Linked DNA regions of Sus scrofa. The protein of the gene in region 1 interacts with the protein of each later gene in a biochemical or structural test. Links are inferred from orthologs where the notes say so. Each region holds a gene or a part of one and is shown on either strand. Other genes may lie near its edges. The genes, in order: YWHAB and ZFP36.

The links.
Region 2: the proteins of YWHAB (region 1) and ZFP36 form a complex in vitro, tested with the Homo sapiens proteins (2 studies listed by BioGRID). The link is inferred for Sus scrofa from reciprocal best matches to the Homo sapiens genes YWHAB and ZFP36.

What each region holds. Positions count from the first base shown.
Region 1 is NC_010459.5:47,311,419-47,315,223, forward strand, and holds part of YWHAB (14-3-3 protein beta/alpha), read left to right. Parts: intron 1-901; 5' UTR 902-904; coding exon 905-1,204; intron 1,205-3,376; coding exon 3,377-3,500; intron 3,501-3,805. UniProt on the Homo sapiens protein: Adapter protein implicated in the regulation of a large spectrum of both general and specialized signaling pathways. Binds to a large number of partners, usually by recognition of a phosphoserine or phosphothreonine motif.
Region 2 is NC_010448.4:48,062,290-48,066,548, reverse strand, and holds ZFP36 (tristetraprolin), read right to left. Parts: upstream 2,818-4,259; 5' UTR 2,787-2,817; coding exon 2,763-2,786; intron 1,950-2,762; coding exon 993-1,949; 3' UTR 314-992; downstream 1-313. UniProt on the Homo sapiens protein: Zinc-finger RNA-binding protein that destabilizes several cytoplasmic AU-rich element (ARE)-containing mRNA transcripts by promoting their poly(A) tail removal or deadenylation, and hence provide a mechanism for attenuating protein synthesis.

The DNA.
Region 1 (3,805 bases):
ATCTCTTTCTGCAGCTTGTACCCCACACACAATTAGTGCCTGGCCTTTGTATGTCAGGCTCTAACCCTTGCACAGCGCCTTCCCCCGGATTAGGCCGCTTGCTCTCACGGCCGCCCCGGGAGGGTCTGTAATGTTCTTATTCTCCCGTTAGGAAACGGAAGCTTTCAGGGGCTGAGTGATTTGACCAAGGTCATACCACTTGTAAGTAGCGGAGCGGGTGCCAGAGAAAGCCACATCTGCTGCCCTTGGTCTGTGCTCTTGTGGACAGTGTGTCCTTGTGACCAAGTTGGTGAATTGCAGAAGCTAAAATAGAAATGGCTCCTGTTTTCTAGGTACCTGCTGCTTGATAGGCCCTGCCTGATAGAACCCTGAAAGTTGTGTCTTTTGCTTTAAGATTGATTGAAGCTGGAGTTCTCTTGTGGCCTTTGCTCAAAACCAGACAAGTCTCAGAAGAAAAGGACATATATTTAACACAAGTTTCTAATGATGTAGGCAGTCTGTGTGTATTAAGGAGGCAGCTTAGGAGAGTGGAAGGAAACAGCTGAGAGACAGAGAGACCTGCGTTTGAGCTCTGGCTTTCCCACCTCGTATGGACCCTTGGGCACATCACAGCCCTGGCCTTCTCTGAACCTCCATTTCTTTACTTCGAAAAAGGGGAAAGGGATTGTGAGCATCTCTCTCCAGTAGGACTGCTGGGAAACGAAAATGACCAAAACAGTAAAAGCACCTGAGCAAAGCACTTAACCCTGTAAGCCCCGTGGTCAATACCATTGAGGACGTTGGTAGGAAATGTTCCCCATTTAGGTATGTTTCTTTCTGGAAGGGTCAGAAGATTTGCACGTGCATCTCCCAGGCCCTGAAGCCTGACATTTGCTTTCTCTCCCTCTTGCTCCTGGTCTAGGGAATGACCATGGATAAAAGTGAGCTGGTACAGAAAGCCAAACTCGCCGAGCAGGCTGAGCGCTATGATGACATGGCCGCGGCCATGAAGGCAGTCACGGAGCAGGGGCACGAACTCTCCAACGAGGAGAGAAACCTGCTCTCCGTCGCCTACAAGAACGTAGTCGGTGCCCGCCGTTCTTCCTGGCGTGTCATCTCCAGCATCGAGCAGAAAACAGAGAGGAACGAGAAGAAGCAGCAGATGGGCAAAGAGTACCGTGAGAAGATCGAGGCAGAGCTGCAGGACATCTGTAACGATGTTCTGGTAAGAGGCCAGCGTTTCTGTCCTACAAAGGATTTCTGATAGTATTCATTTAATGTACACATGCAGACCTTCAAACAGCTCAGGAGCGAAAGAAAGGTGTCTGACTGTACTGGAAAGCCGCACACCATTTGCAGCTCATTTTTAAGCATCTAAAGTGATTTTTTTCCCCCCCTCTCACCTCTTACTGATCAGAGGTTGCTCATCACTCATGGGGTACTTTGCTTACCCTTCCAGAGACCCCTGAAGAACAGGAGCACTTGGTCAACATCCCTCCAGCTTTGCTTTAGAAATCGAGGCCAGAGAGGCAGGATTTTTGATGGGTGCAGCCTCGGAGAGGCAGTTCTCCGTGTTGGCCTGAGTGGCGATGCCGTCCCCAGTCAGGGAGAGAGGAGCAGAGAGCTGACTGCCCGCCGGCCTCTCCCCGTCAGGCCTGCACTGTGGAAAGTCCTTTTGGAAAGTTGGGCGCCTCCGTCAGGTGGGGCCTGCGTTCCAAAGGCAGATCCGAAGGGGTCTGGGGGGGATTCTCTCCCCTGTGTTTTGTGTACACCTCAGGCAGATGCTTGACTCCTCACGCGCTCACCTGGGCTTGGAAGGGAGGGTGCGGATCCCAGAGCAAATCATGGCCATGTTGTCTTTCCCTCGCATCCTGAGCCCACTGGCACCTTTCTTTGTCTTCCGGGTGAAATCAGGTAAAAATGAACGGTGAGGGCCGCTTTGAAGAGAAAAGGAATTCACACGTGTGGATCTGCCTCCTCCCCTGCTGGCTGCCTCTCCGAGTCACTGCCCATGACACCTTTCTTTTGAAAACCAGTATAGAGCTTGTCAGCCACCAGGCAGTGCTCCTCATCCTTAACCCATGAGGAGTCACACCCTGTCTGTCTGCAAAGAATATTAAAACGACTACTGCCCCCTGCATCCTCTCACTTTTGATGAAACCCCCTTACAGCTAAGCTTTTGCCTTGAGCTGCTCTTTTCTGTTAGACTCTCGGTGGTGTAAGTGTCGTGGCTGAATTTGTTGCCCGTTGGTAATTGGGGGGGGGTTGTTAATGGTGCCCTAATTCCTGAATGTTAGGTCCATCTGGTGTTCAGATGAAGTATGGCATGCATTCCAGAGGCAAGAAAAGAAAGTTCCCTAATTCCTGAACTGTAGACCAGCTTATAAGAGCATCTGAGAGAATGTGAAGAAAAGCATGGTACTTACTGCCTCTTAACCAGTTTTTCAGGATGCCACATTCTAAAACAACTCTTCGAAAATATTGCTCTGTATACGAAGCTTGGACTCCTTCAGAACTGCTTTTGTTGTAAGCATAAATGTTTAAAGGAATTTATTATTAATAATAGTATTAGCTACTTTTGGAGTGCTTACTACGTGCCAGGCAACGTGTTAAGCGCTTTCTGAACCTCAGCTCATTTCTTCTCCTGACTGCTCTAGGAGCTGGCTTCTGGGCTTCCTCATGCCGTGACGAGGAAACTGAGGCTCAGGGCGATGAGGTCATTTGTTCAGGGTCATGCAGTTAGTTGGCGGCAGAGGAGGGATTTCTACCCAGGTCTGACTAATTCTAAACTTTCTTCTTTTTTTTTTCCCAAAATGGAAAGTTTTTTTTTTTTTTTTTTTAACCTCCTCTAATTACAGAAATAAGTTCATTGTTTTAAAAAGCATAGGGCAGAAGAGTATAAATAAATAAGGAAATGAAAAATCACTTCTAATCCTACCACCTAGAAAACCATTAACATCTTGGTAAATATCCTTCCAGACTTTTCCCCTAGGTGTTTGTGTGCGTGTACACATACGTGTTTTAATATTAAATTAGATTCGCATGGTATTCACGATCTCCTTTTTTTTTCCCACTTAGACTTGTTTGTGAGAGCCTTTCCACGTTAGCAGTGTAGTTCTGCATCCTCGTTTTTAATGCCTCTGTAGCATTCCATTGTGTGGCTGTACTTTAATCAACCCCTTATGAATGGTCAGAGTGATTTTTAATGAATGAATACAGGCATCTGTTATGACCTGGGCTAAAAATCATTTAAAAGCTCTGGATAAAAATTACGTTTTTTTCAAACTTCCAAAAAGACATTTAGGAGTGGTAGTGTGAATCTTGAGTCTCAAACATAGTTTGAACATCTCGTAAGTAATATTTCCAGATTCTTAACAGAACATGAATCATTTTTTAGGAGCTGTTGGACAAATACCTAATTCCCAATGCTACACAACCAGAAAGTAAGGTGTTCTACTTGAAAATGAAAGGAGATTATTTTAGATATCTTTCTGAGGTGGCGTCTGGAGACAATAAACAAAGTAAGTAACTTTTTTATTTTTTTAAGTTTTTGTTTTGTAGTCAGAAATTTAAAGAGCCACAGCACCGTGCTGACCGATGATGAACGGGGTCCTGGGGCTGGACAGCTGTATCTAAGGAGCAAATGTGAAGGGCATGAGAAGTCTGGTGCAGTGATGCATTTAAAGAGTCCTTCATTTTAAGGATTATTTGGTAGTTCTCTTTTATTTTTATTTTTTAGCTTTTTAGAGCTGCATTCGCAGCATATGGAGGTTCCCAGGCTAGGGATCGAATCGGAGCTACAGCTGCCGGCCTACCCCACAGCCAT
Region 2 (4,259 bases), on another chromosome or scaffold:
CGAGAGCTGGGTCAAAGAGCCCGGCGGGACAGGAGCGCCGGCGCCCCCCCACCCCCACCAACGCCCGGGAACTGGCTCTCCCGGTTTCTCCCGGGTGACCTCACCTGGCCCCGCCCTCTCAGGTGAACGGCCGGGGCAAGTGACGTCACTTCCTGCCAGGTAAGCGCCGCAGGCGGCTCAGCTCCAGGAAGGTTTGGAGGAGCTAAGGGCGGACTCTACCCCGCTTCTAAAAAGGTCCACACCCTCCTCCCCTCTCTGACCGCCTCTAGACCGCAGAAGAGCCAGGATTCCAACTTACAGATTTCTTTTATTTAAAAATTCCAAAAAACACAAAAATAAACTTTTAACAATATATTATTACTTAATATATTATTATAGTATACTTACTTATAACAATAATTATTCCATTGTTTCCAATATTACAAAAAAGAGGAAGAAAAATACAGGGAAGCAGACGACCCAATATATATAAATACTATAAAATCTATTAGAATAAATAAAGTCGTCATAAATAAAGGGCCCAAAGGCGAGGGCGGGAGAGCAGGGGGTTGACGCTGGCTTTGGCTACTTGCTTTTGGAGGGAAATTTGAGCACCAGGATACCCCCTCAGGGGAGGCTCCAGTAACCATCAAACACTGGCACCTCCGTGTCTAGGGAAAAGTGGAAGGGGGCAGAGGGGGGCTTATTATTCACAGCATTGGGCAGGGGAGAGGTGGGAGGAAGAGGGTTCACTGCCTCCCTCAGATTTGCTACATCTTTTTTTAAGACCCCAAACACTCCTCCCCCCTAATACCATGACCACCTGAGCTCACACACTGGGGACCTGCCCCAGCATGCGGTCAGGGGAGTGAGTTAATGCACTCTGGAAAGTGAGGGGAGCTACTTGATTAAGTCCCTCAGTTCTCCACAGCCCTGGGACCCCTTGTGGTGCCCACAGCACAAGAGAAATGGCCCCCTTAAGATCCAGCTCATCTGTACTGGGCAGGCACTTGTCACTCAGAAACAGAAATACGATTGAAGATGGGGAGTCTTCGGGGAACTGCAGTTGGCTGGGGTGGCCCCAAAACCCCGGCATCGAAGACAGGTGAATCGGATCCCCCCAGGCTGCTGCCACTGCTGGCATATTCGTCAGGATCAGATCCCAGGGAGTGTGCAGAGGGGCTCCGAGGCAGGCCACCCAAGGGCCCCCAGATGCTGCTGGGAGTGGCCCTTCGGCAGGACGGGCAACAGGCCGGGGTGGGGTCCCTTCGGGCCACAGGGGTCCCAGGGGCAGCAGAGAAGGCAGAAGGTGAAAGTGGAAGGTCCCCAGGTGGTGGTGGTGGGGAGCTGGAGGGCGAGAAGGAGCATGAGGACAGGGAAGGGCCTGCTAGGCCGGGTGGTGGTGGCGAGGTTCGGCGACCGGAGGGCAGGCCTGAGAAGCTGATACTCTGGCGCAGCACATGCGGGTGACCGGGGGCAGCCAGGTCTTCGCTGGGGTTGTGGATGAAGTGGCAGCGAGAGCCGTAGGGGCAGCGGCCCTGGAGGTAGAACTTGTGGCAGAGTTCCGTCTTGTACTTGGGGTGGCGGCTGGCCTGGCGCAGCTCGCCCAGGCCATGGGCAAACTGGCACTTGGCCCCATAGCGGCAGCGCCCGCTCTCTGAGAAAGTCCGACATAACTCAGTCTTGTAGCGGGAGGAGGTGGTGGGGGTCGAAGTTGGCGAGGTGGGTGAGGGCGACAGTTCAGGGCCTGGGCGGGGAGCCAAGGGTGCAAAGCCTGGGGGTGGGGGCACCCAGCCGCAGCTGCGACCTTCCACCAAGCTGGTGGAGCGACCAGGTAGGCGGGCAGCGACCCCAGCCGGGCTGGAATCGGATGAGTTGAGGCTCCACAGTCCCGCGGTGGCCCAGCCCGGGCTGGACTCAGTCTCTCCGTGGTCGGAGGATGGCAGGTCAGGGCTCAGCGACAGGAGGCTCTGTGGGAACAGGGATGGGTTAAGACACCGAAAATACAGGGTGACGCCCCGCCCCCAGCTGCAGAGCACCTAAAAGCTTGCCAGTCCGGTTTGTGGGTTCCTGGCTAGAACTCCACCCGCCCGCAGGAAAAAAATACGGGTTCCGGATCGCAAGAATCTCGATTCGGAGGTTCTGAGTTTATATTCGCGACTTAAGCTCATCCCGAGGGGCCCAGGAATCCCGGCTGCCCGGCAGGATCAAGTCAGGACACACACCGCTGTCTTCCAATTTTAAGCCTCTGGGCCTCTCGGGATCTGACTACACTCATCGGGTTCTCCAGTTTCACAAGTTGGAGACGCGAACAAAGTTAACCCAGGAGTGCGGACCTCTTGGGTTTTAGAGTTCCCAGAGTCGTCCTCTGGGTTAGGGAGTGGGGAAGCAGAAGTCGGCTTCCCCTCTCCGAGACTCTAGCCCCAGAAACGCCTCCGCGCAAAACCGCGCCCTCAGCAACTACTAGGGGTAAGCCAGGTGTGGGGCCATTTCCGCCTCCAGACAGCCCCAGCCTGAGAAAAGCCCTCCAGCTTTCCACTTCCGAAGGCCAGCCCACCCGTGTTTGGGCTGAGACCACAAAGTCACGGGCTCCATTTTCACCTCCAGAGGATCACACTGGTCTGAGAAGAGGCAGGATCCTCCCGGCCGGAGTGCGAAGCGCTAAAGAGCTTAGTTTGAGAAGGGAGCCAGAGTCCCGGGAGGGAGTTTGCGGCGCTAGAGGGTGAGACTTGAGAAAGGAGTCAGGCATGGGGACTCCGGGGTGCAAATCAGCGGGGGCTCACCTCGTAGATGGCGGTGAGATCCATGGCGGCGCAGAGGGCCGAAGGCTGAGGGGCCGGCCAAGAGTGGGAGCGCTGAAGTCAGGCTACAGCGGGGCCCGCACAGTGGCTGCATTTATTCAGCAGGAGGGGGCGTGGCCTCGAGAGGGGCGGGCCTGGGCGGGCGGGGCCAGGAGGGGCGCTTCCCGGACGCACCGCCCCAGCACAGCCCGCCCGGCCCAGGACCAGTCCCCTTCCGCCCGGCTGCGGGCCGGGACTTGCCTGATCCGGGTCCGCGGGCGATCGCGACCCCGCGGGGAGTGTGTGGGGTGAGGGGTGTCGGCCCAGTTTTCAAAGCTGGAGCCTGAGGCGCGGAGAAGGGAACTGGGACAGAGGTGGGGGCGGGGCAGGGCCCCTGGGGGAATTGACCGGGGCAGAGGCCAACGGACGGGGGCGGGGAGAGGCCCACTGAGTGCAAAAGACAGAAATGGAGGGAGGCAAAAAGACAAACACTGGGAGACAGACAGACACACACACACAGAGACGCACACAGAGGGGAGACGGGTACAGAGAGGGAGAGGGGGTAGAGAGAAGGAAGGTGGGGAGGCAGAGATAGAAAAGACGAGATATAGACGGTCCCAGACGGCAAATTCAGAGCAAGAAGTGGGGGGGGGGCACATAAAGAAACAGAGAAAAAGGGAGAAGGGAGGGGGGGAGAAATAAACATCCACAAACAGAAATTCTCAGGAGCAAGATGAAGAGACCAATAGGCCCGATGGAGAATTCTTTTGAGACCTGCCAGCCTGACATGGTCTCGCTCCCAAATTATCCAGGTCCCAAGACCTGTACCGCCCCACTCACGAGGGTAGGAGGAGCGCTGCCCCGACACCTGGCTGGAAAGGGGCCTCTTTCCCCAGTTCCAGGGCTTCTGTGACCTCTCACCCTCAAATATATAATGGCAATTCTAACCGCTACCTCTGGGTTAGGCATGAAAGTGCTTTACGTACATTAACTCAAGGAGGTATTATGCCCATTTTCTACACAAGGAAACCCAGGCACAGAGAGGCCAAGTTATTCTCCAATTAGTAAATGACAACAGCTTAATAACAGGGCCTTGAATTATGTTACGAGTTTGCACTCCGAGAAGCTCAAGATAGGAAAAGGTTGGAGATCTCTTGTTATGGTGGAGGGTTTTCTTGGTGGAAAGCCGTCTGGAGGTGGAAAAAGTGGGTCATCATCAGCTAATAGTCGGATGGGTCTCAAGAAAAAGGGACGTGCCTTGAGAGAACGCTAAATTTGCACAAATCACTCCCCCTATTGGCAAATTTTTTACTGTCAAGGGGTTGCCCTGCATGAAGCTCAAGATAAGGAGAAAAAACTAATTTTTAAAGGGGGTCTTGGTGAGCTGGCTGCCCTGAGTGAAAATAAGAGGGGTAGAAAGAAATCATTGCCACGCAGTTATCATGGTGGAAAGTTCATTCTTGCAGGCTGCCCCTGCAGACCGCGGGTTTGTATTGAGGT